Linked DNA regions of Lonchura striata. Each later gene encodes a partner of the first gene's protein in a complex. Links are inferred from orthologs where the notes say so. Each region holds a gene or a part of one and is shown on either strand. Other genes may lie near its edges.

Region 1 (7,297 bases):
TGCCTGCCCGCGGCTCTCCCCGCGCCTCTCCGGCCGCGGGCACCGCCAGCCCCGGCGCTCGCTGCCGCCCGCACCTCGCAGCCAAAGGCGGCCCGAGCTGCTGCTCCGCTCCCGGGAGCGAGTCCCGGGCGGGGACGGAACCGCCCGGGCCCGCAGCAGCTCCGGCACCGAGGGCGGGCGGAGCTGCGGGGCCGGGCAGGGGCGGCGGACGAGCGGCAGAAGGGCTGGAGAGCGGCTACGGCAGCGTTTGGCTCGGCTCGGCTCGGCATGGCACGGCTCGGTTCGGCTCGGCACTGCTCGGCTCGGCTCGGCATGGCACGGCTCAGTTCGGCACGGCTCGGCACTGCTCGGCTCGGCACTGCTCGGCTCGGCTCGGCACAGCTCGGCTCGGTTCAGCTCGGCTCGGTTCAGCTCGGCTGAGCATGGCTCAGCTTGGCGTGGCTCAGCACGGCTCGGCTCAGCTTGGCTCGGTTCAGCTCGGCTCGGCACGGCTTGGCTCAGCTTGGCTTGGCACGGCTCAGCTCGGCACGGCTTGGCTTGGCACGGCTCAGCTCGGCTCGGCTCGGCACAGCTCAACTCGGCTCGGTTCAGCTCGGTTCGGCACGGCTCAGCTCGGCTCGGTTCAGCTCGGCTCGGCATGGCTCAGCTCGGCTCGGTTCAGCTCGGCTCGGCATGGCTCAGCTTGGCTCGGCTCGGTTCAGCTCGGTTCGGCACGGCTCAGCTCGGCTCGGTTCAGCTCGGCTCGGTTCAGCACGGCTCAGCTCGGCTCAGTTCAGCTCAGCTCGGCATGGCTCAGCTCGGCTCGGTTCAGCTCGGTTCGGCACGGCTCAGCTCGGCTCGGTTCAGCTCGGCTCGGCACGGCTCAGCTCGGCTCGGTTCGGCACAGCTCAGCTCGGCTCGGTTCAGCTCGGCTCTCGGTTCAGCACGGCTCAGCTCGGCTCAGTTCAGCTCAGCTCGGCATGGCTCAGCTCGGCTCGGTTCAGCATGGCTCAGCTCGGCTCGGTTCAGCATGGCTCAGCTCGGCTCGGCTCGGTTCGGCTCGGCACGGCACGGCGGCAGGAGATGCACCTGCGGGAGTCAGGCCCCCATCACAGCCCTTCTCTGTGGGACCTTCGCAAGGCCGTGCGCTGATGGAGCGGGAGAGGGACAGGCAGGCCCAGGAGGGTGCGAGGAAGAGGAGTGGCTGTGAGGAGGCTCCACCAGGAGGAAGGAGCCGCTCGCTGCCGGGCGGGCAGGGAGCGGCCCCGTCGGCACAGCGCTGTCCCGGGTGCGCCGGAGCCGTGCCGGGTCGGGTTTGGTGCCCCGTGCCAATCAGAAATTAGAAAACCTGAGAGAAGGCTCACATACTGTGCAGCTGTATGCAAACCCTGAGATGAGAAATGCTGACTTAGAAATGCCATGGAGTAAGACAGACGTTGTTGAGAGACAAATGGAAATAGAAACAAGTTTCAAAGGTTTTCCTTGCAAAAAAGACTAGATACTTTGGAGAAATAGAACTATGAAAGATGCATTGTAGTAGGACCCAGGAGGGGTAATTTTAGATGATTTGCTTTAAGGCATTTGCAGTATAATGTGGCAAATCTGATAGGCCATTATAGCTGATAATTATATTGTAATTAGGAAATAGTTGGCTTTTGATTGTGACGGCATGAATTATAACACCTGCATTGTCTCACCCTTCACGTGAGACTGAAAATGGGATAAAAGTTTCTAAAATGCCTCTCAGCTGCCCCATCTCTGGGTCAGAAAAGGGATTAATCCGACATGTGCCGACAGCTCCCGGCGGGGCTCAGGGCGGCTCAGGGCTGTGCGGGCCCGGAGGGGCTGCGGGGATGCCCTGCCCAGCCCCGGCCTCCTCCTCCTCGGGTTCCCGGTGTCCCGGGCAGATGTTCGTCCTGGGCACCCCCGCTATCTGGGCCCCGCGGCCTTGCAGACCCTGCACAGGCTCTTCTGCACCGGCACCAGCGGGAATAGGGCTCCTGGCTTGTGCTTAGGGTTTAGGGGGATATGATGGCTGAGTGAGAAGAGGGATCTGCCTCACAAGGAAACGGACCCCGCAGCAGAAATGATTTGACTCTGATTTGCAGAGCAGAGTGGTGTAGAAGGGGGCAGATTGCTGATTTAACCCTACTGGAAGCTGCCCTCGGCCACGGCGGGGGGTTTGGGATGAGATCGTCTGTAAGGTCCCTTCCAACCTAAGCCATTCCATGATTCTATGAACCCCTTCACAACTGAGGGCATCCTCCTCCAAAGTACATCAAAACTGGCTGGAGCAGCTGCAGGAGTTGCTCTCCCTGCCCTGGGCTCCCCCGTCACTCCTTTCTGGCCCCCAGCACAGCTGGCTGCACACCTGGCAAGCATTTCTGTCCCTGGTAGAATGACTCCACAAAGCCAGGGAGAGGAAGCTGCGAGCAAGGCAGCGCAGTGCTGTGGGTGGAGCAGCACCCTGGGATGCCCGAGGTGGAGCAGGGCACAGCTGGGCAGTCTGTAACAGCTGTAACAGCTGTACAACAGGGATGCCAGGAAAGCCCCAGGAAAACCCCCATGAAAACACATCTGGTGCCTCAGTCCCCTGCTGAGGAAGGTGCTGATAACCTGCCTCTCTCCTTAGCTCAGCTCAGGAATTTCCATACCATTCATCCAGTCAGGCTTTCCCAAGCCCAGCAGAGCTTGGCAGGACACAATCCAGCCTAGTGATGCTTCAGGTTTTGGCTTTTATCTTTTTCAGATTCTATTCTGCTTTAGTGTGTGGGTCTGGGCTTCATATTAGTGGATGGTGAGCTCTTTTCACAGAGTGGGGAGACAAAACAATTCCTTCTCTAGCTGGGGACCCAAGGACAGCTGATCCAGATCTCAGGTCCAAGAGCATAAACCATGTGGGCTGAAGAGAGAAAAACAAGAAGGATGGGACTGCATGGGCTGGGGCTTTAACTGGACAATTAACTCTAATATGCAAGTGGAGCAAAACATATAAAAGTGTGAGACCCCATGACCAGTCACCCATTTTGGGACCATTTTGGGTTGTGCTGCCCAAGGTGAATGTATTTGAGACCTCTTAATAAATCCCTACTTTATTCTTTAGCTCTGTCTAGTCTCTGTTCCAGGTCAGCCTTCACAAGGCAGCACTAGGCTGGTTGGGTTCCTGCATCCCAGACATCCTCCACACCCTGCATGCAGGACTTACCTCTGTAGGGCTGAGCAGGTGGTTGTTCAAATGACCAGTGCCAGCCAAGGGTTTCCTCTGTGCCTCCAGAAAAGCAAGCCTGAGCAGGTTTTGGACTCACCATGATTCCCTGGAGCTCTGAGATTGGGCTGTCCAGCCAGTGGAACGGACCAGCCTCGCTGGCCCTACAGCCCCAGTATGCCGTGGTGCCGGCAGAGGTGTGCACCAGCTGCAGGGGAGATCCTGCACAGGAGGGGCTGTTGCATCGCTGTAAGCTCCTCTCGCCGCAGTTCCCCGAGCGTGGCGTGCTGGGCGGCGAGGGAAGAGAACGGGCGGCCGCTCCCCCTGTGAAACTCCGCTGTCCCAGTCGGTGGTGCGGGGACAGACGGAGGCGACACGGGACTTGGGGGTGAACAGGATGGTTTTACTCAGTGAGCCCCAAGACCCCCTTGAGAGGGGGGGGCAAAGGTTTTATACAAGAACTCAGGAGGACGGGTGTAGGAACAGTAACCAATAAGGGAATAGCAGGGCAGGAGTTTAGGGCAGGACTAACATATCACAAACCTATCAGGGGAAGCAGGGGAGTGGAATAACACAAAGTAAGTAATAGGGTGTTGAGCCTCACTAAATAGACAGGGAATGCTCTGGAAGCAGGGAAGGGAGCTAGGAGGAATGACAGGGAAGGTTCCAGGAAAAGGGGTAGGGAAAGGGAGGATTGACAGCTTGGAGAGGAGAGGGTTAGGGAACAACTGGGGAGAGGAGGAGATTAGGGATGGGGGGGAACAGATATTGAACAAATATCAAATTAAAGAAGAGACACACCACTGCAAGGGGCTGATGGGGTGAGGGGGGGGAAACTTCCTTGGGAAGTGGCCAGAGCTGGCTTCTCCATCTCCCCCTGCACGATGTGATTCAGCAAATGCACATTGCCCCGGGCAGCCCGGCTGCTTCCCGGTGCAGGTGGGGACCTGGGGACAGATCTGACCTGGGGCACAGGCGCTGCTGTGTCGGAGCAGAGCCCAGCCCAGGCAGCCTGTCCCACCCCCAGCCCAGCCAGTGGCACGCCAAGCACTCGCCCAAGTCCCCATGTGCTGGGTACAGAGGGAACAGCTGCAGGGGCCCTTCTGCTGCCTCAGGAGCTGGGACAGCACCCAGAGCCAGGCCGGGATCTAAATTTAAACTCATGCTTTGTGTGTTTGTACATGCGAGTGCAGGCTCCAGCCCCCACTCCCCCAGCACCCCCCTGCTGCACGGAGGGCCAGAGGAGCTCCAGCCGGCGGGGACCTGGGGAAGGGGGGCTCCACTGCAGGGCAGCAGGGGAAGAGACAGCTAGGGGAGCAACACCATGGAGCCCTCTTCTCCCCAGGGTGACGTGAAGAAGAGGCAACAGAAGGAGAAGTCCAAGAAGCCGGTACCACCAATAGCTCCTCGTCCACCCAGGGCTCTGTTCTGCCTAACCCTGGAAAACCCCCTGCGGAAGGCGTGCATCAGCATCGTGGAGTGGAAGTATCCTCTGGCTGCAGGGCTGGGAGCAGTGTGTGTGTGTGTGTGTGTGTGTGTTTGTGTGTGCCTGTGAGCATGGCAGGGCTGCTGTGGGCACCAGAGCTGCCAGCCTGTTTCAGGCTTGTGCTGTCTGAGGCCTGTCAGAGGCAGCGAGGAGCTCAGGGAGCCTGTAGGATGCACTGGCAAAGGCAATGGCAGTGCTGCCAGGGCTGCTGCGGAAAGCTGGGACTGAGGTGTAGGTCATGGGGCTGAGGAGTGGGTCATGGGGCTGAGGGGTGGGTCATAGGGCTGAGGGGTGGGTCATGGAGATGAGGAGTAGGTCATGGAGATGAGGAGTGGGTCATGGGCTGATGGGTGGGTCATGGAGATGAGGAGTGGGTCATGGGGCTGACGAGCGGGTCATGGAGATGAGGAGCGGGTCATGGAGATGAGGAGTAGGTCATGGAGATGAGGAGTGGGTCATGGGCTGATGGGTGGGTCATGGAGATGAGGAGTGGGTCATAGGGCTGAGGAGTGGGTCATGGAGATGAAGAGTGGGTCATGAAGAGTGGGTCATGGGGTGAGGAGTGGGTCAGGCCATGGGGCCTTTGGTGGGGTTGGACAGGGACAGCCTGGGGGAGGTGAATGTTTTGTGTGTGTTGTGTGCTGGGAGCAATGTGGGACAGACAGGTGAGAGGGGAGGGGGTTTGGTGTGGCAGGAGGGGGCCCAGTGCCCATGCAGGGGTGGGGATGGGGTCAGGCTGGGGACAATGTGATACTCTGGAGTTTTGGGTGTGGGTAGGAAGACCCTGGTGAGTTGCTTGGGATGGCTCCTTGTGTTATCACAATCTGCCTGATCCCACAGCTGTGCTCCCAAATCCTTGCTGCCACCATTGTCCTCTCAGCTCCCTCTCCCATCCCTCCCCGGTACTGCTGTCACCGGTGAAGGCTTTTTGTGGGTGATGTTGTTCAGAGGGATAGTCTTTCTTTGTGCCTTTGGCTTAGTATTGTAGTTTGGGTGTTGCTTTTTGACCTTTTCACTGGGGCATTGTCGCTCAGAAGTACCAAGATGTCATGTTCCTGCCATGCATCCAGAACTATCACTTTGTTCACCTGTGTTTTATGTAAAGGAAGAGAATGGGAGATGAAATTTTTCACTTTGATTTCAGCAAAACTTTTGGGCTGTAGCAAAAAAGATGGACTGGGGAACAGAGTCGAGTTCTTCCACCACATCTTTTCTCATTTCTGTTGCTGAACCTTATCTGAATGTTCCTGGCTTTGCCAAGATGATCCCATCCCTGGCCAGGCTTTACTCTGGGAGGTGGCTTGGTCACCTTAGACTGGCTGTGTTGCTGTGGAGATACCAAAACCATGCCCAGAGATGCTGCTTTGCCCAAAGCCCAGGGAGCCTCTTGGCAGGCATGAGGTCACGCTCACAGCCCTGCTGGTGCTGGAGTTTGAGACCTCATTCCTTGACTGCAAGGGGACTCTCTGTCCTCCAGGGAGTGGAGCAGGGCCAAAACTGAGGAGTTCTCATTTTGTGTGTCTCTGGCAGGAGAAATGATGGTTCTGTGGGCGCACAGAAGGGAACTGTGCCTGTGTCTTAAACGGGCACTGAGAAAGGAGGGGAACTTGTGTGAATGCCTGAGTGGCAGTGGAGGAGCTGGAAATAGGATTTCCATCTTGCAGCATGCTCAAACACATTCCTCCTGCTGGGCCAGCACGTGCCAGAGCAAGTGCACAGCACAGGGAGGGTCTTCCCTACCTCGGTGCTCTGGGGGGACGAGTGGGTGCCCCACAGAACGGTGGCATGTGCAGGTGGTTGTGACCTGTGCAGGACAAATGATCCAGGGAATCAGGTTTCTGCAGTGCCTGGCTGTATTTATACCCAGATGCACCTGGCTGCCCTCACTCAGGGATCAGGGTATGTGACATGGTCGGGTCGTTCCAGTTCCTGGGGTTATTATGGTCTGCAGGGACATGCAGGCTGCCAAGGGGAGATTAGCTGTGAGCCTCTGGTGTGGGGGTACCTGCCTGTAGGTTCCAGTGGCAGTATGTGCTCCTGCTCCCTGGGCCCAGCACTGCTGTCAGAGCACAAAGCTGAGCCACAGGGTGGGCAAGGGGCTTTTCCAAGCAGTTGAAGGGTGGGGACCATCATTCCACTCAGCCCAGGGTGGGTGGAATGCTGACTTGAGGCAGAGGGTGTTTTGTGCTGAAATTTGCTCAAGAAATTCAAGAAATCTGTTCATTAGAACAAGGAAATGGAATGTTCTGCAGCTTACTGGGTGTTGTGTACAAGACAGTCCAACAACCTGATAGTTGTTGGGGCATGTCTGGCTTTGTGACACCACCCTGGTATTTCAGGTCAATCTGTAGCCAGGAGAACTTCAAGGCAGATGGGTGAGGACTATCGGGAGCCTGGAGAAACACAGAGCTGCAAGACACAAGGTCTAATTCCTGCTGCAAGGCAGATGTGGGGACCCTTGGATGCTGTGTGGTGGGAGCATGCTGGGCAGGAAGCAGTTAGACTGCAAGACAAGGAGATGAGGAGGATGCTGGGGCTCTGTGGCAGGAGGCAGACACGCTGTACCCAGTTACCCACATGGCTGGTTTTTTGGTTCAGTCTGTCCCACTGCCTTTCTGCCTCATAAC
Region 2 (7,094 bases), on another chromosome or scaffold:
GAGTTACCATGAAAGGCATTAATGTGTTATGGTATATTATAAACAAATCATAGTAGTACCTGGGTTAATTAAAATTATTAAAATTAATATTCTACTAATTCAGATTCCTGAAAATAGGGGTTCTTTAAATAAGGAACTAAAGAGAAGACTGTGGTTGATTTAAAAAAAATACACCAAAAAACTGATCACCAAACACTGGTACATTTGAAGAGTTTGCTTCTTTTCTTTCAGAAAACCTAATGCTGATTTCATTACAAAAGGGCCACACCTAAAACCACCAGTTTGTACTGACATATATCTAGACATTGTGAATAAGTCCACAGTGTAACTGGTCAGCATGCAGATTTGTCTGGATAAAACTGGACATCTGAAACTCTACTGCAAATCCATCTAAGACCAAGATACAACTGGGACTAAGATCACACTGAACTAGAACTAGAACTATGTTTTTACAATCATATGGACCTAAAAGCCATAGAATTTTAGTTAATACAAGAAAAAAACACCAATATTTCGTCCCAGTTGCAAAGAACTTCCCTGGAAAAATACAGTATAACTGTCATGACCAACACCCAGAGAGATTTTCTTTTGTTTGCAGATCTTGTTAGGAAAATGCATTATGAAAATAAGAAATAGACTTTCCACAGATGTTATCTAGGAATATTTCACATATTTAACTGCCTTTTAAGTGAACTACTTCTAGAGTGTTAACTACATTTCATGCCTCTGCCCCATGGTGACAAGTTTGGCCAAAATGGACGGACAGGCACAATCCAAAATACTGACCATGATGTTAAGATAGATTAAAAGAAATATCAGCTTTGCAAAAGTAAAATTTTGGATAAGAGAGTTGTTGTGACTTGGTACAACTCTACAAAGGCTGTCAATAATATTTTCTTAAATCATAATTCCCAGAAGAAGCACTTCAGAGTGAACACTTTTAGGAGTGACATCACTCCATAAGTTCACATGCTGGTTTGGGTTTTTTTCCCCTGACAGATTATTTGGCAGAAATGTTTCTAGGATTGATATTCAACTACCTTAGAGAAAAAGACAGTGGTACACATATCTGAAGTACCTGTAGGCAATCTACTTGATGATTCACATGTCCTCATTAAGCCTCTCCTTCTCACTGTGAGTGTGTTCTAAAGCAGCAAGATTTTACAATATTGGGGTTTTTTAAATGTTCATGGAACAAAAATTCAAATCAAAATAATTGCCTCTAAATGCAGCACTTGCCAAGAAATTAACTTGCAGTATTATTCAGACAAAAGGCCCTTTTGTTTCCATAACTTTATTTCCTCTCTACCAAGGGTTTATGTATGACTAAAACAAGTACATAGTGAGAAGATGATTCCTGATCTGCCTGATGACTTTGATTCCAAAACCTGAAAAACATCCCTGAACTAAAAAGGTGCATTATCACTGTCTCAAAAAGTGAATCTTTTTGGCTGTGAGTGTTCAGAAACCTGTTTTATAAAACAGAATATAAATGCATTACCTGAAACATAAATAACGTGGGTGTTAGCAAACTATTCTTCCTCTCTAAAGAGAGGTTTTTCAACCCTAGCTTAAAGGAGGTTGAGAAATCAATTTTATGATTGGTATTTGACATTTGTCCACAGCAGAGAGATACCGTATGATTTGAAAGTTGCTGAATCTGTGCTTAGGGCTATACAGACATAAAAAGGGGGGATTTGTAGGTCAAAAATTAGCTCCATTGCCACTGTTTCTGGAGAAGCTGGCAAAGCATATGGCCCTCCTGAAATGTCTGTTCTGTGCTTGGAGGCTACTGACATCCAAAGAGACACTTTCTCTTTTTTAGTTTAACCTCCTCTCTGCCTTAGTGCCTGGATTTTGTTCTGCTGTCACCAGGCCTGAGTATGTAAAGATCAATCACCACGACTGTTGACAGACTGATGGCATTTTTCTCTGTCAATCAAGAACTACTGGGATGGAGCTGGTCCACCTTCTCAAACAAAGCATCAGAGACAGCTTTGGCAGCAACAGTAAAAACCGCACCCCAAAAAGGAAAAAACCTCTGTCCTAAGAAGATAATGCATAATTGAAATCTGAAATTGACACAATCAGATTTTACCACCCTTTTATGGGTTCAAAAACAGCACTCTGAAGTCTTTGTAACCAACTATTGCAAACTTGAAGATACTAAGCAACATTCATACATTAAACAGAAACAACCTTTCAAAATATGAAGTCTTGTCTAAGTAAGCCTTACCCTACCTCCTTCTCATCACCCATCCACCCGAACACTGCAAATGAACTGAGTTGTTAAAATTTCTGAGACGACTGCACAACCACCTTCTGCATGAAAATCGAGCAGCTTAAATCTGCAGCATGTTCAACACCTTCAGCCTCCCCAAAATTCCTGCTGAACAACTGGCGTGAATCGCCTTCTCTCACCTACAGACTGTCACCAGCCCGTGCAGCAGACGAGGGAGGTTCAGCCGTGCGTGGTAAGCATCAGGTACAAATACAACAGGTTACTGGAGCAGGGAAAAATAGCCGTACCCTGCAGTACACGTGCGGAAGATCAGCTTAAAAGCAATGTATTCTTACATACTCATCCTCCAAATAATCGCAAGGTTCTTTTGATTTACGATGCTTCTATGGCACAGAGCATCCTATGTGTGCTAATTAAACGGCTTTTGAGAGTGGGGGCGAAGACAGGGGTTTCGGGCGCCTTAGGGGAGCCGTCAAACTTTTCTGCCGGCGGTGCCCGAAGTTGAAGGACGGGCCGCTCCGGGCCCTGCCCGCGCCCCCGCCCGCGCCGCCGCAGCCCGGCCGAGCCCCGCCGTACCTGCGCTGCCGCCGCCGCGGGCAGGGGGTTGTCCAGCAGCTCCATCTGCACCTCCTGCGCCGGGCTGGGAGGCGATTTGGACATGTCGCTCTGGACCATTGGCGAGGAGAGCGGGTGGCTGGGCGCCGAGCCTCTCGGCGGGACAGAGCCGTGCTGAGCCGAGCCGAGCCGAGGCGAGGCGAGGCGAGCCGGGGCGGCGGGCGCCGCTCAGCGCCCGGCCATGCCGAGGAGCGGCGGGCGGCCCGGCCCTGCCCTGCCCTGCCCGGCTCCGCTCCGCTCCGCTCCGCTCCGCTCCGCCCTGCCCTGCCCGCTGCCGGCGGGGAGCGCTCGGCGCCGCGGACGGGGCAGCGCCGGCGGCGGCGCGGGGGAGGGCAGGGGGCGGTGCGTGGGGAAGAGGGAAAGTGACAGCGAGCATCTCCCTCCGGCGGCGCCGGGCGGGGCGGCGCCGCATCCGCGCGGCCCAGCCCGAGCGCGGCCGAGCGGCGAGCAGCGAAGTTGGGGCTGTGGCCGGCGGGCCGGGGGGCATCAGGCCCTGCTTTTCCCTTCAGCCCTGCCCGGCGTCTCAGCCTGGCCGCGCGGCATCGCCTGCCTCAGCGCGCATCGGCTTAGACCTGTGCTGTTAGCGAGCGAACCGGCGCTTCGACAAAGTTCCATAGGTCTCTTGTGTTGACAGGGCTTTTTGGAGGTTCCTATGCACATATCAACAAGAGATGAGTACGATGAAATCCGCTGTCGAATTTTATATAACCTGTGAGTGTACGATCTCAATCGTGCTATCAGGTACCCCACAGGAGGCGCTTGAAACACCTGTTTGAAACCTGATCCGGCAAAATCACCCTCCACCGCTGAGATGATCTTTCATTTCTTGTGAATGAGAGATCATTTTGGTCCTTATAGAGACCAAACTCTCTGACCTTATGAAGTCCACAATGGACTGATACCTTTCTTCCACTGGATGGGACCTAGCTGTGCCCCATGCAGCATGAAAGGGAAACTTGTGTTTTCAGACTCACTATGTGATGGTTTGTGAAATATCCTATCAGCTGATTGTAAACAGTGAAAACTAAGTCTAGAAACTGACTGGCCTGGTCACACAATTAAAATCACAACCATTACTAAAAGTAATAAAAGTCACTTTCAGGAAAAGAAGCCAGCAAACCAAAGCCAGCACAAAAGCCAGATCAATTTCAAAAAGTACTTTCAAGCTTTAGCCAGATTGCATGGTTGATTTATTTCATTTTTCATAATAGCTAATAAGCTTCCTTTCTGAATTAGTTTACCCCTATGGATTTTCTTATATGAATAGTGAAAATCTTACAGGAACTGCCCATTTTTTTTGTGAAGAATTAGCTTTGTCTGCAAGAGGAAGTGCTCTGACGTTTGAAGAACTTTCACTTGTCCATAAAGTTCCATATTTATTTTTGAAGACAATATTTCAAAATTATTTTCTAGAATTTTAGCGTGTTGTCCATGAAAAAACACAACCTTAATTTAAAGTGAAAATTGTGGGGTTTATTGCTTAACTTTCTTTCAAGTAACGCAATAGACATGTTCAACAATCTTGAAACTATAAAGATGCTGGAGTCTGGACTGCTTCCAGATGTTCTTCAGGTGGTTATAACCAAAAAGATATTTTATTTTTAGATATTTGGTGTGAAAAATTCATACTTCACCATCTAGTAGAGGCTTTGAAGTAGTTATTTCTTTGACACTTACAAATTAGATTGTTTAAATTTAATTACTTTTTGTAATTTACTAATTTTGTAATTTTACTCATTATAAAGGAATTTACTGAAAAGCCTAAACACAGTATTCGTGTTAATGATTGCTAGGTGGTGTATTGTTATTGGAAGATGTTGTCTTTGAATTTCTAGCACCTTTATGGCTTTGGAACAATTTATCCTTCTGTATCAAGACACTCTAGGAAAGGTACTTGACGATCCACCATGATTCAGTACATTTACTTGGTAGATTTTCAGGCATCTGTCAGGGATTGCCTGCTCTTTCTCACACAGAGAAGGTAGTGGAAGTCACTTAATCATGTAACAGTGGCCCTTCATGTTGCCTTCTGGATTTTCACTTTGTAAAGAGTGTATAAACAGGAGCATTTTTTAAGTATACCACCCTTCTGTAAGAGTAGTAGTGATTATTTTTTAAATATTACAGTTTCTAAAACCATAAATTGTGAATCTGGATTGAAAGAGTATTTCTACTCTCCTATAAATTAAAGCTTGAATATGTCAGTTGAAGTTCATTTTTTGTATGCTCAATCATGTCTTTTATGATTAGTTTGTCTTTTTTTTCCTTTCCATTATAAAAAAATAATGGTAATGATTTTGCTTGTTTATGTACATACATAGAGGTTCTGTAGAAAGAAAAGACTCAGGAAAGAAGTTTCACCTCACACACACACAAATAACATCTGAATTTTTAGTAAGTTTATTTGGTTTTTCTTTCTGAGGAAAAATATTCTACATAACTGTTCTTTAGCAGCAATTATTCATTGTCTTGATGTAATGAGTGGCTAGAAGATTAGCATAGAAAAATAACTGTATTTTATTCTGTTTCACCCCTTCTGTTTAGCAGTTAATCCAAGTTCTCTAACCTTGAAATGTGCAGTGAAAGTCCTTCAGCTGAACACATATGCATACAGTCATCCTTCTGCATGCTGTTTTTGGCCACCTCTGCTCCAGGAGAAGGGTCAATGTGTAAAAACAATGTGCAGAGATTCTAAATTGCTTGCTTTTTCTCAAGAGAAAAAGCAACCTGGTATGCCTAACCCCTTCTCAGCAGAAAACCACCCTGCTGCATTTATTTACACTTTTATCTGCAACGAAGAGGTGTTGTGCATGCTTATTTGGATTTTTATAAACATGTAAATGTTAGAAAACCAGAAGAAAACACAGGCTGTTTTGTTCATAGGCCCTTTTTCTTTCTTTAAAAAAACAATCCCAAAAGCTTAGGCTGACAAACAACCTGATTTGGGTGCCAAAAATAGCTGGATTTTTTTTTTTGCATGAGAGTTTAGATGTTCTTGTAAAGCAAGGAGGACTGTATTACTGTGCATATTTAATTGTTCTTTACCATCAGTATAAGAATGTGGTGTCAGCACCATGTTCTAACCTTTGTACCCATGTATGGCAGGTACATGTTTGGTTTAGCCTATAACTATCACCTAAATGTACAAAAAATAGGCCAAGGAAGTTTGGCTGATATTTGTGCAAATGCAGCTAAAAGCTAGTAACTTAGACCCAAGGGATTTCTTTAAAAACTTGCACAAATACAAACCAGTGAGCTTACAATAAATTATTTTTATGAAACTATATAAAATGCTTTTAACTGAGCATATATTTAAAGCCCTGATATAGAGAATTTCTCTAGGTCTTTCAGTTAAAAAGAAATGCTGGCTGTCTATTAGTCTGTGCCACCTCCTGCCTAAAATGAATTGTAGCCAGAAATTCAATATTGTAAAAAAAGAATTCACTTGATTACACAGTTTTAATATCTCAAAACAGATACGGTTAATCTTTTTCGGTGATAAACTGGAAGCTGCCTGTCGCAAGTGCAAGTTAAAGGGATTCCTCTTATTTTAGTACTTTATCTTTCACACAAGTCTGAACAAAGCCACTCCAGACGGGCTCACTTTTGAATCCGTTATCAGTCTGTATCAGAGCACATCACCTGGCTGGATTTAATGAACTGATCCATTCTCCCAGCTCGTGTTTATTATGTTGTATTCTTGGATATAAGTGCCATGCACCTAAGACAGCCTTGACTGATACTATTACAATGTGTTCAGGAGAAGACAGGATTGGAAGGAGGAGGGTTTCCATATGACGGAAGATAGGAGCAGTATATAAACACTGGTAAAAATGCTCTTAAAACACAGAAAGGCTCACAATACTTGAAAAAGCCACAACACCTACTAAGCACATATTTTCAGCCCTTTGCAAAACGTGACCAAAAAAGGCACGCTCCCTCTCACAAGCTGTTCACTTTGTGAGAGGCAAATTTTCTGTCGATGGGTTGTACACAAAGTTCATGTTTGATTAAGCACTTCTGCAGAAGTTGCTGGTTTCAGTTGATTTTTTTTTTGCTTTTTTCTTTGCTCTCCTGTCATAACTGAGACTGCATGTGTCCTTTTGTATCCCAAGTCCTTACCAACTATGGTGTTCCTATTTATAGCATCATTTTTCTCTTATTAAATACTTGAATCACAAGAGCACAAAAAGGCTTTATAGCATTCTCACCCACAAATATGTTCAGCCCATGTGAG
Region 3 (7,636 bases), on another chromosome or scaffold:
GGAAAGACCATGAGATGTTCAGGCCACACAGAGTTTTGGGTGGCAGCTGTCCCCTGTAAGCATTGGAGTGCCAGGCTGGGAAGGGGCTGGAGCCCACCTTGCTCTGGAGCCCCAGATGGACAGAGCACGGGGAGTTTGTGGCAGGGTGGATGGTTGGAAAATCCTGGGGTTTCGTGTGGGGTTTCCACTTGTGATGAGTTTGGGAGACAGGACCTTGGAGGACGTGTTAAGGTGAGGGCTGAGCCCTGGAGGGGGCCAGGCCTTGGGCTCTGACCTGGCTAATGAAGCCTTTGACACACACACGGGGAGTTTTGGAGATTATCTCTCCAAGCAGTTTCATTTCACACCTGTCTTGCAGGGTGAGTCTCGTGTAACAGGGGACAGAGCCCTGCTGGCAGCCCATTTGTTCAAGCACTTCTCTCCGGTTGCCTGTGCTCAGGTTCCTGTATTTACAAGGACCTGTTTGAGCTGTTGAACACCCCTGGTGCTGCCCAGGAACCACTTTTCAGCACCAGCACCAGAGTTACAGGCAGTGACACTGAGCTCCGTTTACAGCTGGCAGTAAAATGCCCTAGTGCCCACTGACCACAGTTAAAAATGTCTCAGTGTTAATCTGAATTTGTCTGGTTTTAACAACCATCTCCCTGATCTTTTTATTTGTTACAGCAGGATGCTGAACCCTTTTCAATTTGTCAACACCCTCGGATGGGTGCTGTAAAATTTTAAACCTCTGCCTAAATCACAGCCCTGCTTTGTGGACTGCGAGCCAAATCATCCTCCCCACTCTGCACTGCGCTGAGCTCAAAACCTCATAAATAACGTTAATCATGCCATCCATTTCCTCCACAGGGAGTGACTGGTAAATGGTTATTAATTCAGTGATAAATTCTGATGCCTCTTTCCCAGTCCTGGCAGTAATATCTGGTTATATCTCATGATTTTCAGGAAAAGCAGCGCCTGCATCTGCTCTTTTACTGCGCGTTTGTTCATTCACATTTTCTTGGCTGCTGCAGGTTTCACAACCCTGGTGTTTCCCTGCCGACATCCCTTCCCAGAAGTGTGAAATCAATGGAGCAGGAGCCGTGCGGCCGCAGCCTCAGCCCCGGGGCTCTTCTCCCCTCCCTTTGCTCTCATCCTTCCCCGGCTAAAGCAGGGATGAAGGTATTTACGTTATAATTGAGGTGCGAATTTCACCCTCTGCAACGTGGTTACGATGCAGGCTGTCATCCGGATTCGCAAATATCTTTAAAAATGGGACGAGCCAGCTCTGGCGTGGGGCACAGCCCAGCCCCTCCGCAATTCCCAGTCGCTCTGTGCCTGGCGGAATGCGGCGCTGGGATGCGATTCAGCGTCTGTGCGAGCACATGCTGATGTCTGTCAAAGATAGCGGCTGCTTCCCTGCGCCCTGCCTGCGAATCTGCTTTGTGCAGACAGCTGGATATTTATGAGTTTTATATTTACCCCACGGTCGTGCAGTTTTGCTGTTTACCCACCAGTTTCTATTGTTTTTCCTTTTGTGGGAGTTCTCGGTGCGTGGGGGAAGGCGTGCAGCGAGGAATGCGTCTCTAGGCACGTAAGTACCTTGCTGAGAGACATTAAGCATATGGATGACACACTCCCAAGTTTGGTTAGAGGCAGACCCACATGCTGAGGCTCAGCTCCTCTCTTCACAACATGTAATTTGGCCAAAGAGATAAAGAATTGCAGTAATACGGGCAATATACAGTCAGACCAAGCAGGAAGATTTTTCACAGGAAATTTTCAAATATGTGTTAACATATATTTCATTTCAAGCAGCGAGTCTAACACGAAAGCAATCCTGTTATTTCTGTTCTGGAAGGCATCCAGTACCCTATAAGCCTTCTAAAAAAGCAGCGTGGCTCAGTCACAGAGGGAGTGTATTAGTGCAAACGGCGTGGATGTTGCTGACTTGGCAATCAGCAAAAACATAATGAGCTCCTTTAACCATGAGAATGGAGCAGCCTTCCCGGAAAGCTGCCGTGCCCACTGCCCTCCCCATCGATTGAACTGGAGGGGAAGACGTGTGTGGGAGCTTGTGCCTCTGGTGAGAGGTAAGGAGGTTCCCTAAGTCCTTGAGAAATTGATTCAATCTCCATTTATGACTCTTTTGTTTCTGGAAGTTGACAAACCATCCTGCAGGTCCCTCTCCCTCCCTGCCCTGAGGAATGGCTGTTACTGGAGCAGCTCAGAGTTAACCCAGTGCCCACCGTGGGTGGGCTTTTCCTCTGGGATTACATGGATCTGGAAATCCACCAGCTGTGTTTGGTGGACCCGTAAATCCTCTCTCTTGCCTGCTGCTGTCAGCGTGCCTGTAGGACCCTTGGCTGGGGTTCAGCAAGATTCCCTCCATCCCAATCTGCCGTTGTGATTCCCACTGTGCCCAATCCTCCTCCCCTTCTCCCCACCACTGTCGCTGCTGCACGGGAGACTCAAACATGGTCACAGACAGACCAAGGCAAGGCAGCAAAGCAGCCCCAGCAGGAGCTGGCAGCGAGGTGTGTTTGCACACCAACACGAAAACAGCCCCGTGCACCCCATCCCAAACTTTCCTTTCTGCCGTGAGGGACGTGGAGCCTATTTCCCTTTGCCACGTCCTCCAACCTCCTGAGCAAAGCCTGCTGTGAGTCTGCTGCATGCTCACGTACCTCCTGGCAGGCTGATGGGCCCACAGCTCTTCTCTTTGGGACCTTGCTCCTGCATGAAAAGGCGCTTGGTGCAGAGTCTCCAGAGGCCGAAATGCGCCGCCTCGCAGGTGGTGGTGTTCTCCTCCACGCTGGGGCTGAGCACGGCCCAGTGGTCGGTCACTACGGCCGCGAAGAGCAGCGAGATGCCCACCAGGATCACGGAGAAGGTCAGCCGCACCTTCAGGGGTTTGCTCTCGTCCATCTCGCTGCGGGCCGGCGCTCCCAGCGGAGCACGGCGCGGGGTTCGCCAGGGCTCCCGAAATCCTGGCGCATCTGAGAGCCTGGAAATGTCATCCCCGGGCTGCAGGCAGCTGCTGGGCTGTGTCAGGAGCTCCCGGGGCACGGCTCAGCTTTCGGCCCCGGCCCACCCGGGCGCTCGCCGGAGCGCAGGGGCTGAGGGCTCTCCACTTGCAGCATGCCCAGAAATAGGCATTAATAGGATGATTAACTTTTCAGCGAGGTTATAAAAACATCTGTGTTTATAATAGTGCTGGGCCTGAGTGCAGACTGATCCTAAACAGCATAATAGCCCTGGAGCTCTGTCACCCCACGCCTGCGGCTCACAGGAGCTCAGAGGTGGACCTGCCTCCAGAGCCCAGAACTGTGGCAGAGAGTGATAAAATAAGCCAACTAGTCTATGTCTATTTTATTATTTATTTGTATTATAGTTATTTTTATTCTAAGCTTTTATAATAATTCTTAATTAACATGAACTATTATGAGCTGTTGGGGGCTTTTTGTGGGTTCCAAGTTTTTTTTTTGTTGTAGTTGTTTTAGTTTTTTTGTGTCTTTTTTTTTCTTTTTGTAATGCAATACCTCTTAAATACTTGTTTGCTTTCCTATCAACCAGGTTCCCCTCAATACCTGCAGTAGCTCCAGCAGCCACCCAACACATCCATTCCTTTCTCCAGAAGTGATTTCTCTCTTAAGCACAGGTTGCTGGAGCTGGGCCAGCCTCTCTCCTTCCCTTTGATATTTCAGCTGATTGTAAAGCCAATTTGATGGTAATGTCAATGCAGAGGCCACTGTGGAGGTGACATTACAATTGTGATGTCAAACTGAGGAGGGTGACAGTACCTGAATGTTAAAAGAATGGTTAAAAAAATGCCAGTGGAAAGCTGCAAATATCATTGTGTCAAGATAATGTCAGAGCTACTCCAGTCCTGCTTTATTAACACCCCAGTTTGATGTCAAAATAAAGGTGCAGAGGTGTCAGCTCAGGTTGATGAGGACAATGTGGAGCAAGGAATTAAAGTGTAGGCAGAGCATGGGAAAGGGAGAGAAAATAGTGTAAGTTTAAAAATATTGGTCCAAAATAAATAACTGAAGTATGACTTGGGTTAACATTACTCTGCTTGATGTGTGACAGGGATGGCTTAGACACCCCTGTGGGGCTGAGGGACATGTGGGCACCTAGGATGGCATCTGGAGCCCCATTCTTGCTGGGACGTGGGGACCAGTGAAGGTACCTGGTGCAAAATTGGAGGGGAAGGGGACCAGGGAGGGCAGTGGGGACATGGAGCAAGACAGGGACCAGGGACCACAGCCCCATGCTGGGGCTGGCAGAGATATTAGAGGCTTCCATTTAAACCAGAACCAAGAGTGAAAGCAGAAAGACCTAAAGGGAGCAGACTTTAAGCCAGAAAAGAAACACATGAAAGATGTAATGCCTTTTCCTTTGAAGTAGACTCTTGTTAAATTTCGCTAGACATCAGTTGATCTCAGAAGCTGCATCTCAACTTCAATTCCTTGATGCTACAAACTCCACAGGTGGAGCAGAGGGAAGTGAATGTGTGTTTGCAAATGTGGGCACACAGTGAGGCTCTGGTTGCTGGGACATCAAGTGCTAATGATCCTGCTTTAGACTAATTACAACCTACAAGGACTGCAGGGGTGGGAACTCATTAATTTTTTTCACTGGCGTTGGTCTTTGTGCCTCTTCCAGTGTTGGCAAGAATCACACTTTTTGTTCTCATTTAGTCCTTCATTCTTGAGAAGTTCTATGGGCTTGGTTTGGCTTTGAGTTTCCTAATTTCCAGGGAACAACTGAAGTGAAATCAGAAGTGAATAATTGGTCCTTCCCTACTGCTGAGTGGAGCTGGGAGTGTGAACAGGTTTCAGTGAGCCCCAGCATGGGCAGCAGTGGCTTCCCAAACTCACATTGCTGCAGCTGAGATTAAACACTCTCTCCAGCCTCCAAAAATTACCTAGAACTGCCAGCCCATGGGAAAAAAAATGGGTTTTGTGGGTTATTTGTGGGCATTTGGGAAATGCAAAAACAAAACAGATTTCTGGAGGAGCACAGGACTAAAGCAGACCCTGGAAATTTTCTGCACATCCAGAAGATCATGATGCCTAATCCTCTGGGAATGGTTCCTGCAGCCTCCCTAAGTCAGCTGGTAAATATTCACATTTAAAAATCGGTATCACATGAAAAATAAACAGACTATTAATGAGGACCTGTTGGAAAGCAAAGAGGGCTGCAATTAGTTGCACTTTAGCAGCAGTGAGTGAGGGACACAATTCTGTTTCTCTTCTGGAGAAAATGCCAGAGGAGGCGTCTGAAGCCCAACTACTGTGTTGGTTTTGTTCCCTGGCAGAGGTGGTGACTTGGCTCTGCTCCCCAGCACTTGCACTCTTCTGTATTTCTTTCAGACCAGCCTCAGCATTCAGCACGAGCAGATTAACCTCACTCTGTGGTTCCCTGCTTGCAGAACAATGCTCTGCAGAAAACCCATCCCAGTCAGAATAACCCAGAGAGGGGCAGGCAGCACCTGCTCTGCTCTCAGCTCAGATGGGAGCTCAGCAAAGAGCTTTCTTCAAACAGGGTCTCCTCAGTGCTATTTGGGCTCCCCAGCCTGCATTGCCCCAGTGTGGTGAGACCAATGGGATCGGGGTGGGTTCTGCACAGCCAACACCTGGGAATGGCTCCAATGGTACCCTTGAAAGCTCCCCGATTCCGGGGCGGCAGTCATGGAACACAAGAGCTGAATGTGGGAGTTTTGGCTGGCTGTTGTATTTTGCAGTAGACTCCCAGCCTGCTGTGTGTAGCTGGCCATCCCTGCTGCCCCTATGAGTGACCCAGAGCTCCGAGCTCCCAAAATACCGCGGGCGGTGCCGCTGGGAACGCGACCCTGGCTCTGGAGCGCGGCAGCGCTGGCTGAAAGCCGAGCTGGGCTGCAGACAGATGCACCAACTCTCCTTTCCCTTTTAGACACAGGCACTGCCCGTGTCTGTCGGTTCTCTCATTCCAAGGAAATGCCACATCCTCTTTTTTCCACTTTCTGAAGCCTGTCTCTGCTTCCCCCCTCCTCAAACATCACTTTTCCCAACACCCCTGTTCACAGCGAGGCAGCCACAGCTCCTGGGGTCACCATTTACCCACGGACTTGCTCATAAATGTGGGAAAAACCTTATTTTTATTTCAAAGAGGAGCAGCTTTGGGCCTGAGCTTTAAATGGCTTCACTACGGCGTGTCAGAGGCGTTTGAAAAGATGAATCCTCTGCCGCCCTCCAGACGTGCCAATTCATCGTGAGCCTGGGAGAGGTGGGCAGAGACAGGCAGCCAGTCCTCATCCTTGGAGACAGTCTGGAGGCTGAGGAGCTGGGAGGTGAAGTCGAAAGAAGTATTTGAAGGAGGAATCCTGTCTGTGATTCAGGGATGGCTGGGGCTGTCTGGGGTGGGGAGAGGCTGACCCGCGCTTGGCACCGCTCGTCCCGCGGGACGTGGTGGTGCTGATCAGAGCAGGGCTGCGTGCTGCTGCAGCACCTGGGCCACGCTTCCTTCAGGCAAGATGGGAAAGATCAGGGAGAGGAGGATGCTCCAGGTGAGCTCAAAAGAAAGCTCAAAAGCCTGAGGAAAGCTCAGGCTCAAGGAGGCACTTCAGAATACACTGGGTTGTTTTCCTCAAGGGTGGTTTGCAGTGGCCTCTGGCCACCACACCAGGCTCAAACTGGGCACTGAGAGCACTGTGTACCCATATGGGACAGGTTTAAGCTGGAAACTAGAAGGTTTTTCTTAATATCCAAGCAACTAACCAAAAATATAGCGAAGGTAGATAATCTTGGAGATTTTGTGGTCTTTGGGACCACAAGAATAATTTTATCTCCTCTGAAATACTGGCACCCAGTAACATGGCCAGCTGCAATCAAACAGTGAAAAACGTGAAAAAATAACCTGAAATCTCAGCTCAGAGAATTTGGAAATTAAATATCTATATACCTTTCTCCACACAAAACCAAATACATTTAAAATGGTTTATTTAAAAAGTAAGGATTAAGTACATTATACATGGTTGTGATTATACCAGTAGAACTGAAGCACAGTGGAAATAACACTTTAGAACTGCAGACAGAAATGTAGCCTCAAGGGACATGATATATTAGCCCTTGTGGATATGTGATCCATACAGAGAGAAAAAGAAACAGAAAAATAGTTTATTGTTAGATGTCTGGGCAGCTGAAGTGATTTCTGCTTTTACTCCTATTGTGTATGAGAAATAAGGAAGAGAGAGCTCATGGTATACCTGAAATTTTGTTTCTTGGAAAATCAAATCTGATCCAATAGCATTTTTTTTTTTTTTTTAGTTCTGCTGCTACAGTATGTTATATACCAAAAGACTGATTATTGTTAATGATATGGTTTTATGGTATCTGCAGGCCTTGCTGGGAAATGGGGCTCATTTGTTTGATGCTGTCCAGGAAAACCAGAGAGCTGTGGAAGAACAGACGATGTTTTTAAACTATCACTGAGTGGTTTCAAATCACAATCTAACTCTGTTCAAATACATCAACCATGGAGCAACACTGCTCATGGTCAGGAATGCTGCAAATTTTTCAGTTTTGTCAGAATCAAAGTTTTTAATGGGACAGGACTGGGGTTTTGATTTTTTTTTTTTTGTGGTTTTGTTGTTTTTGTTTTTGTTTGTTTG
Region 4 (7,957 bases), on another chromosome or scaffold:
GGGTGTGTCGGGTAGCATCACCCAGCACGGCCGCCCTGGGGTGCAGCCCCCACGTGCTGGGGGGCTCACGGGGGACACCCCCGCAGGCCCAGGGATGGGGAGATGACCCCTGTCACGCTGGGATGTAGATCTTCCTCCTGCCGCCCTCCACCCTGGGGTGCTCAGCCCTGCTCCCCCGGCTCCCCCTCCCCACCGCGCCGGTATTTACCCACCGCCCGCTGCGCCGGGAACAGGCGCAGAAGCTGCGGTGAAATATTTATAGGCCCCTGAATGTGGCTGAGCCCCCCCCCCCCCCCCCCCACCGAGGTCCCCCGGGCCCTGCCGGGCTGAGCTCAGCGCCGCCCCCCCGTTAACCTGGACATCCCGGCCCGCTCGCACCGGGGGGAGCCTGGGCACCCCCTCCGCCCCCCCCCGGGCAATTCGGATTCCCAGCACAGCCCCCCCCAACATGGCCTCCCCAGCACGGCCCCCCCAGCATCGTCACCGCGCCCCGAGCATCCCTCACCCCCCCAGCATCCCCGGGATGGCTCCGCAGCGTTCCGGTGCGACCCCCCCCAGTCCAACACCGCCATCATCCCCAACGAGTCCCCCAGGACAGCATCTGCAGCCCCCCACTCATGCACGACCCCCCCCCCCCCATGCAGCCCCCCCGGCCTGGAGCATCGGCCCCCGCGGGGCCCCCGGCCGGGGGTACCGGGATTCTCTTCCCGCCCGGTCCCGGTCCCGGCGGTACCTGCGGCGGGGGGGGACAGGGACGGGAGCGGTGGCGGCGGCGAGGAACAAAGGGCTGGGGGGCGGCAGAGCATCCCCCGCAGCAGGCATGAGCCCCGCACCGGGCACGGTGCACCCCCGAGGCACAACCCCCTCGTGCGCCATCACCAACCCGGGGGGCGCAGCTCCCCCCAAAACCGACCGCGGCCCCCCGCGCACGGCGCCCCCGATCGCGCGGCCGGTACCGGAGCCGGTACCGGAGCCGGTACCTCGTTGAGCAGGAAGGTAGCGCTGGAGTCAGAAAACGACATAGACGGGGCGAGCCGAGCCGAACCGCCCGCGCCCCCCCCCCCCCCGCCCCGCTCCACCGGCACCGGCTCCGGTTCCGGCTGCGGCTCGGGCTCCGGCTGGCCCTGCCCGCTCCGCCGCCGCCGCCCCTCCCCGCCCCTCCCCGCCCCCGCCTCCCACCGCCCCCCGGGGGCGCACGGAGCCGCCCCCGCCGCTCAGCCCGGGGGGGGAGTGGGTGGGTGTGTGTTGGGGGTCGCCGTTCCCCCTTCCCGGTGCTGGCGGGGGGTTCCGGCCCCTCTCCGGTGGGGACCGCTGCGGGGGGGGCTGCGCTGGCAGCCGGGAGACCCGAGCGGCCGCGGTGAGCTGCACCCGGCCGGGTCACCGGTGCAGCTCCCGGTGGCCCGGGGCGGGGGGAGAGTTTGCTAAGAGAGCTCTGGGTGAGAGGGGAGTCCCGGGGCAGCGGCGGAGGGGCTGTGCAGCCTCCCGCAGCGCGCCGCTCGGGGTTCCGGGGCGGCGGCGGCGGGGTGCCGGTGGGTACCTCCATGCTCCGGTGCAGCGGCTCCGGTCCTGCCCCGAGCCGGCAGCAGCCCCGTCTGCAGGGCGAACCCTGCGGCGGGGCCGGAGCCGCTCCCGCCCCCCCGCCGCGCCCCCCCCCCCCCCCGCCCCCGAGGAGGGGGGCAGCGACGGGCCCCGGGGGACCGGGCCGGCCCGCCCCGTTACCGCGCAGCGGGACGGGCCCCGGCGGGACCGGCCCGGGACAGCTCACGGCCGGCCCCGGAACAACGGGGCAGCGCTGGGTGGGGGCTTCGGACAGCGGCGGGACAGGCCGCGGACACCTGCACCGGGCACCAGGCGTGGAGAACGGGCCCCGGTACCGGGCACATGGCGGGGCCCGGCCGGGCCCTCTCCGAGGTGCTGAAGGGGCCGCGCCGGGTGCTGAGCCGGGTCGCGGGGTCCCCGGGAGTACCGGGGAGTAGCGGTACAGCAGGTGCTACCCCACGATGGGAACGGGATGCTCCGGCCGCTCTGCGCCTCCTGGGGCCGCCCCGACAGGACCCCCCCGCCCTCCGCGGAGCCTCCCCGGTAACCGCTCACCCGCCGGCGGCCGGGGAGGGGGCGCAGCTCGGGGCCGGAGGAAACCGAAGCACCGGTTGGGGGGCGGCGGGGAGGTTCGTGCCTCTCCCCGGCAGAGCGAGGAGGCGGCCCAGTGCCGGTGGAGGGAGCGGGAGGGGAGCCCCGCGGCCCCTTCTACGGCCCCGCCTGGCCCGTTCCCCTTCCGCTGCCTCAGTTTCCCGGGGCCGCCCCCCGCGCCGCAGTGCCGGTGCCCGCCGCCGGCCCGGCCCTGACGCAGCACTCGCTATTTTTAGCCGTGGGGAGCGGCTGTTGCGATGCTACCGGCGCCCGGTGCCGGCGCCCAGCCCCGGTCCCGGGGGAGCGGCGGGGCGGAGGCGGCCCCCGAGCTCCCTCCAGTGCGGAGGTTGGGGTGGGAGACGCTCGGCCGCTCCCCGCTCCCCACCCCAGCTCCGTGCTTTGATGCGGAGCCGCAGCAGCGGCGGACCCGGGACTGGCGGAGCTGCCCCGCCCCAGTGCCGGTGCCGGTCTCGGTGCCGGTGTAGGTGCCGGTGTCGACCCGCTCACCTGCCTGCGGAGGATGCTGGAGGTGGTGTCGGACGAGGTGCTGCCGTCCGAGCGCTTGAAGCGGCTCTTGCGCTTCGGGAGCCTCCGGGGGCTCTGCGGCGAGAGCAGGCGGTGAGCACCGGGCGGCCCCGGGCGGCTCGGCCCCGCCGCGGAGCTGCTACCGGCGGCCACCGGCTCTGCGGACAGAACCGAACCGGGCCGCGCGGGGCCCGCGACGGCCGGGAGGGCTCCGCTCTGCTCACCTGGAAGGAGCCGGAAGCATCAGGCTGCGCCGGGGCGGACATCCCCGGCGGCACCCACCGGAGCCCCGGGGATCCCGGCGGGGCAGCCCCACACCGGACCGCGGCGCTCCGCGGGGAAGGGCCGCGCCGCCGCCACTGCCGCGCTCCGCATCACACGGGGCCGCCGGGGCGTCCCGGCCGTCCCCGCCCCCGCCTGCCCGCCCCCGCGCCCATCCCCGCGGCGGCCGGTCCGCGCCCCCGCAGCTGGGCAGCCACCGGGAGGCACCGGCAACGGACCCTGCCCACAACCCGCAGCGCTGCGGCGGCCGGCCGCGCGGTCCCGGGGAAGAGGAGCCCCCCGGGGCCGCCGCAGCCCTGCCCACGCGTGTGCGGGGATGCGGGAGCCAGAGCCCCTCCGCCCGCATCCCACCGGGACGGCTCCCGCAGGCGCCATGCCCCTTCCACGGCTCTTTTTGCCACCCCCACGCCAGGGCATCATCCCCCCCCCCCCCGCGCGGGGTTACGCCCCCAAAGTCTCCCGCGTGGGGCAGGCGGGGCCGTGGGGGGCCGCAGCCCACCCACCCCACTCCCCGTGTCCCCGCCATGCCCACGGTATCGGCCGGTTCCGGTGCTTCAACATCGCCGGACCCGAGGGGCAGAAGGGGACAACGGGCCGGGCATGGAGCCGGAGCCCCACGGAGCCCCAGCGTGGGCCTCCCCCGTCCCCCGCGCGGCGAGACTTCCGCGTGGGGCCGCAGGGACACGGCCCCGCCGGCGGCTCCTAATTAATGATTAATCAGCGCTCCCCGGGGCCCGGCGCCGGGGCGGGGGGGGTGCGCGGCCCGGCGGCGCCGCTGCGGGGGAGGGAAGGGGGGCACGGGGGGGTTCTGCCACGGGGGGACGGCAGGGCCGGTGCCACGGTCACTCGTGGGGGTGCGGGGAGCGTAGTGAGGGGGTGCCCTGCGCCGAGCTGGGCACGAGGGCACGCGGAAATGTGGAGGCATCCTCAAGGGGGGTGTGCGTGTGTGCAAACAAGGGGGGCTGTGAGTGTGTAAGGGGTGTGTCAGGGTGAGGGTGCGCGCAAAGGGGGCTGTGAGTGTGTGACGGGTGTATAACGAGGGGTGTGCAAGGACTGTGTGTATGAAGATGGGGGTGGTGTGTGTGTAAGGGCTGTGTATGTGTAAAGGTGAGCGTGCAAGGGGTGAGTGTACGTGTGTGTGTGCAAGGCAGCGTGTATGAAGTGTGTGGAGTGTGGGCAAGGTGGGTGCGTGCCCCTGTGAACGTCTGTGTGTGTGCCAGGCTGCGTGTGCAAGGGCTGTGTGTGCAAGCTGCATGTGTGCACCCGCACCTGTGTGCACGTCTGCCGTGCCTAAGGCGTGCACAGGTGTGTGGACACGGGGATTCGTGTGTTTGCACACAAATATAGACGGGTTTATGTGTCAGTGTATAACAGGTCTGCCTGAGTGTGCAAGGGTGCGTGTGTGTGTGCAAGGGCGTGTAAATCTGCGAGGAGGCTGTGTATGTGCAATATCTATGTGTGGCACGGAAAACGCGTGTGCAAAGGTTTGTGTGTGCGTGTGCAAGGGGATGTGCGTGAGCGTGCAGGGGTGTGCGCAAGGTGGTGGGTGCACGCCACGGGTGTGCAGGGGGCTTCGTGTGCGTGTGAACACACACGTGTGGGTGCAACACGCGTGTGCTAGGGCGTGCAGTGTGTGCCTGTGCAACGGGGGTACCGGGATGTGCGCGGGGCGGGTGTGCAAGGGGAAGGCACTGGGGTGCGTGTGCAAGTGACACGCTCGGGGGTGTTGTGCGGACACGGGGGGCCCCGCCGCGCGTGTCCCCGCCATGTCGGTGCGTGTGTCCGTGCGCGTGTGCGCAGCCCCCGGGGTGCGAGTCCGCCCCCGCCGCTCCGGGCCGTACCGGGCCGTTCCCGCCGCCGCCGCTGCGCCTTTAAGGCCGCCGGCCGGGAGCGCCCGGGAGCGGATCCGGGCGGGGGGGGGGAGGGGGGGCGGGCACCGGCCGGGGCGGGCCGGGGCTGCGCGGCCGCGACCGGGACCGGGGCCGCCACCGCCACCGGGGGCCCGGCCTGGGCGCGAGATGGGGCGGCGGGAACGCGGCGCGGCCGCCGTGTAGGAGCGGGCGGCGGCGGGGCCGTGGCGGGGCGCGGGGCCCCGCGGCCGGCGGCGCCGGAGGCGGAGGTGAGCGGGGCCGCCCGGGCGAACCGGGAGCGGCGGGAGGTGTGTGGGGGGGGTGGATCGGGGCGGCGGCGGCGGCGTCGGGGACCGGGACCGGGACCGCGATCGGGACTGGGACTGGAACTGGGATCAAGGCGGTGGGGCGACACCGGGCTGGGCCCCCGGGCGGCGGCAGCGGTGCGGCCCCGGGGGGCTGCGCGGTGCTCGGCGGGGTCCGGTGCGGCGGCCGGAGGGAGCTGCCGGTGCTTGGGAGGGTCCGTCGCGGCGGCCGGAGGGCGCTGGTGGGTCCCGGTGTACGGGCCGTGCTCGGCGGGGCTCCCGTGCCCGGAGCGGGGAGGGAGGCGGCCGCCGCCACCAGGGCCGGCCCTTCCCGGTGGCCGTTCTTCACTGCCGCTCGCCCGGAGCAGAGAGCGGCTGCCACGTCCCGGCTCGTTCCCGGTGCCCCGGGGCGGCCGTGCCCGGTAAAACCCGTTGGCCGCTGTTCAAGACAAACAGGGCCGGGACGCCCGGGTCGGTCCCAGCTTTGTCGCAGGTCGCTGCACCGGGAAGGGCGGGCTCGGGGCGGCCTCCACAGGGCCACGCACCGGGCACCGGGACAACGGGAACCCGACACCGGGAACCCAGCGCTGTGCACGGGGATTCTGGCACCGGGCACCCAGAACCGGGACACTGGGGCACAGGGAACCCAGCACTGGCCATTCCCACAGCCGCCATGGGGGCAGTGGGAGAGCCGGGACTTGGGCTCTGCATCCCCCAGGGTAGCGGTGGGGACATCAGGACCCTCCGGTCTTTGCACGGCCTCGCACCCCCGCGGACACCGGGGCTCCCGTCGGGGTGTCAGGATGGGGGACCAAGCGCTGACTCCTCCTCGGTGCCCGCAGCATGTCGTGGTTCAGCGGCATCCTGGTGCCCAAGGTGGACGAGCGGAAGACGGCATGGGGGGAGCGCAACGGCAAGAAGGGCCCCCGGCCCCGAGCCGGCCTCTGCGGGCCCCGCTACATGAGCTGCCTGCAGGACCCTGAGATGGAGCGGGGTGCGGGACCCCCCCGGGGGCTGCGCTGCACTTGGCAGGAGGATCACTACGGCAAGAAGGGGCCCGCGGGCGACCTGGGACTCAAATCGGTGGACACGGGCTTGGAAGACGGCGAAGCCAAGGGGCCGAAGGGAGCCAGGGGACACGGGGGGCGGCCATCGGCCGGAGAGTGCTGGCGGCGGCTGCTCCAGGTTTTCCGTTCCAAACGCTTCCAGTCGGCCAAACTGGAGCGGCTTTACCAGCGCTACTTCTTCCAGATGAACCAGAGCAGCCTGACGGTGCTGATGGGAGTGCTGGTGCTGGTTTGTGGGGTGATGCTGCTCTTCCTCTGCCTGCCCGGTGCCCCCCACGTGCCGGCAGCCGCCGCGCTGGCCGGTGCCACAGCCCTGTTCCTGCTCCTCATGGTGCTGTGCAGTCGCAGCGCCTTCCCCCAGGACTATATGTGGGTGGTGAGCTATGTGGTGCTGGGGCTGCTGGCCGGGGTGCAGGCGCTGGGGACGGTGGCCGTGGCGCCCCGAAGCGCGGCCGAGGGCGTTTGGTGGAGCGTCTTTTTCATCTACATCACCTACACGCTGCTGCCCGTGCGGATGAGGGCGGCCGTGCTGGCCGGGGTCCTGCTCTCCGCCCTGCACCTCGCCATCGCCTGGCACCGCAACGCTGCCGACCCCTTCCTCTGGAAGCAGGTAGGGACACGCCTGGGAGGGTCCCACCCACCTGCAGGTGGGACCTCATGTCCCTGAATCCTGCTCTGCAAACTTGGGTTTTTTTTTTTTTCACTCGGATGTTTCTGCTGGTGGAAAGTTCTAGATGCAGGAGGGACCCCCGGGGAGAGATCCCATGCTGGGGTCCCGTGGTGGGACAGGGTGGGCCCCTCATGCCGGCACAGACCCACCATTGTGGGCTGCACCGGGAGGAAGGGGCACCCACAAAGCCCCCGTTGTAGGGCTGGCGGAAACCCCCGAGGAGGGAAGCAAGTCCAGGGCACCAGGGCAGGGGAGTGGCTGTCACCCAGGGGGGCTGGGACACTGCCAGTGTCCCCTGTCCTGCCCCTTTGAGGTGGTGGGTGCTTCTAGCAGAATGCTGCTTGCACAGGGGGGTGCAGAGGGGTCCCCTATCCCTAGGGCCACATGTTCCCAGCCCCAGCAGCTCCCCCTCCTTGAGTGAGCAGAGCCACTCGTCAGCCTTCACCCTCGCCCTGCCTGGCCAGGGCCAGGGCCACGTGCAGTCCCCGCGGGGCACAGGGCGAGGAACACAACGACATCGGAGGCCAGCAGGGTCACGGGAAGGGCCGCTCCCCCGGGGGAGGGTTCACCCCTTCAGGGCAGGAGCGATGGGGCTCTGGGGGGATGCAGTGGGGCCAGGGAGGGGATGCGAGGCCTCTGTTCCCAGTGTCCCAGTGTGCTTGAGCACTATAAATAGCCCTGGCCCCGGTCCCGGGGGATGGGGTTGGGGGAAACCGCAGCTCCCTCCGCAGTCATCTCTGCTTTCTGACTTCCTCTGCTTCCCGAGGGCGTCCCCATGACCCCCGTGCTCCAGGACCCCATGTACCCCTGGCTCCTGTGTCCTCAGATCCCCCCGCTCTGGTTTTCTACACCCCACATCCCTACGTTCCCCCTGCCCTGGGTCTCCAGGTCCTCCACATTCACCCTATGCATGTCCCCTGTGTCCCCAAGTGCCCTCTGCTACCTTACCCTTTGTCCCCAAGCCTCTGTGATCCCCCTACCCTGTGTCCCCTTTGCCCCCCCACCCTGTGTCCCCTTGTCCCCTTTACCCCCCATTCTGTGTCCCCAGGTCCCTGCATCCCCTGTTCCCTGGTTTCTCACAGCCCCAAGTCCCCCATGTCCTTGCAGCCCCGTTGCCCTGTTTTCCCA

Evidence for each region.
Region 2: CACNA1S (region 1) and CACNB2 share a complex: the UniProt entries of both Homo sapiens proteins name them as parts of the calcium channel complex. The link is inferred for Lonchura striata from reciprocal best matches to the Homo sapiens genes CACNA1S and CACNB2.
Region 3: CACNA1S (region 1) and CACNG1 share a complex: the UniProt entries of both Homo sapiens proteins name them as parts of the calcium channel complex. The link is inferred for Lonchura striata from reciprocal best matches to the Homo sapiens genes CACNA1S and CACNG1.
Region 4: CACNA1S (region 1) and CACNB3 share a complex: the UniProt entries of both Homo sapiens proteins name them as parts of the calcium channel complex. The link is inferred for Lonchura striata from reciprocal best matches to the Homo sapiens genes CACNA1S and CACNB3.

Annotation. Positions count from the first base shown.
Region 1 is NC_134632.1:1,007,220-1,014,516, reverse strand, and holds the start of CACNA1S (voltage-dependent L-type calcium channel subunit alpha-1S), read left to right. Parts: upstream 1-4,279; 5' UTR 4,280-4,508; coding exon 4,509-4,669; intron 4,670-7,297. UniProt on the Homo sapiens protein: Pore-forming, alpha-1S subunit of the voltage-gated calcium channel that gives rise to L-type calcium currents in skeletal muscle.
Region 2 is NC_134603.1:137,020,053-137,027,146, reverse strand, and holds the start of CACNB2 (voltage-dependent L-type calcium channel subunit beta-2), read right to left. Parts: upstream 3,011-7,094; 5' UTR 2,918-3,010; coding exon 2,819-2,917; intron 1-2,818. UniProt on the Homo sapiens protein: Beta subunit of voltage-dependent calcium channels which contributes to the function of the calcium channel by increasing peak calcium current. Plays a role in shifting voltage dependencies of activation and inactivation of the channel.
Region 3 is NC_134621.1:8,799,507-8,807,142, forward strand, and holds the start of CACNG1 (voltage-dependent calcium channel gamma-1 subunit), read right to left. Parts: upstream 3,010-7,636; 5' UTR 2,908-3,009; coding exon 2,667-2,907; intron 1-2,666. UniProt on the Homo sapiens protein: Regulatory subunit of the voltage-gated calcium channel that gives rise to L-type calcium currents in skeletal muscle. Regulates channel inactivation kinetics.
Region 4 is NC_134629.1:6,104,318-6,112,274, forward strand, and holds the start of CACNB3 (voltage-dependent L-type calcium channel subunit beta-3), read right to left. Parts: upstream 3,009-7,957; 5' UTR 2,922-3,008; coding exon 2,880-2,921; intron 2,731-2,879; coding exon 2,638-2,730; intron 1,589-2,637; exon of another isoform or gene 1,544-1,588; coding exon of another isoform or gene 1,538-1,543; intron 1,061-1,537; exon of another isoform or gene 1,023-1,060; coding exon of another isoform or gene 981-1,022; intron 1-980. Other genes in the region: ADCY6 (adenylate cyclase type 6), read left to right, coding at 5,936-6,769. UniProt on the Homo sapiens protein: Regulatory subunit of the voltage-gated calcium channel that gives rise to L-type calcium currents. Increases CACNA1B peak calcium current and shifts the voltage dependencies of channel activation and inactivation.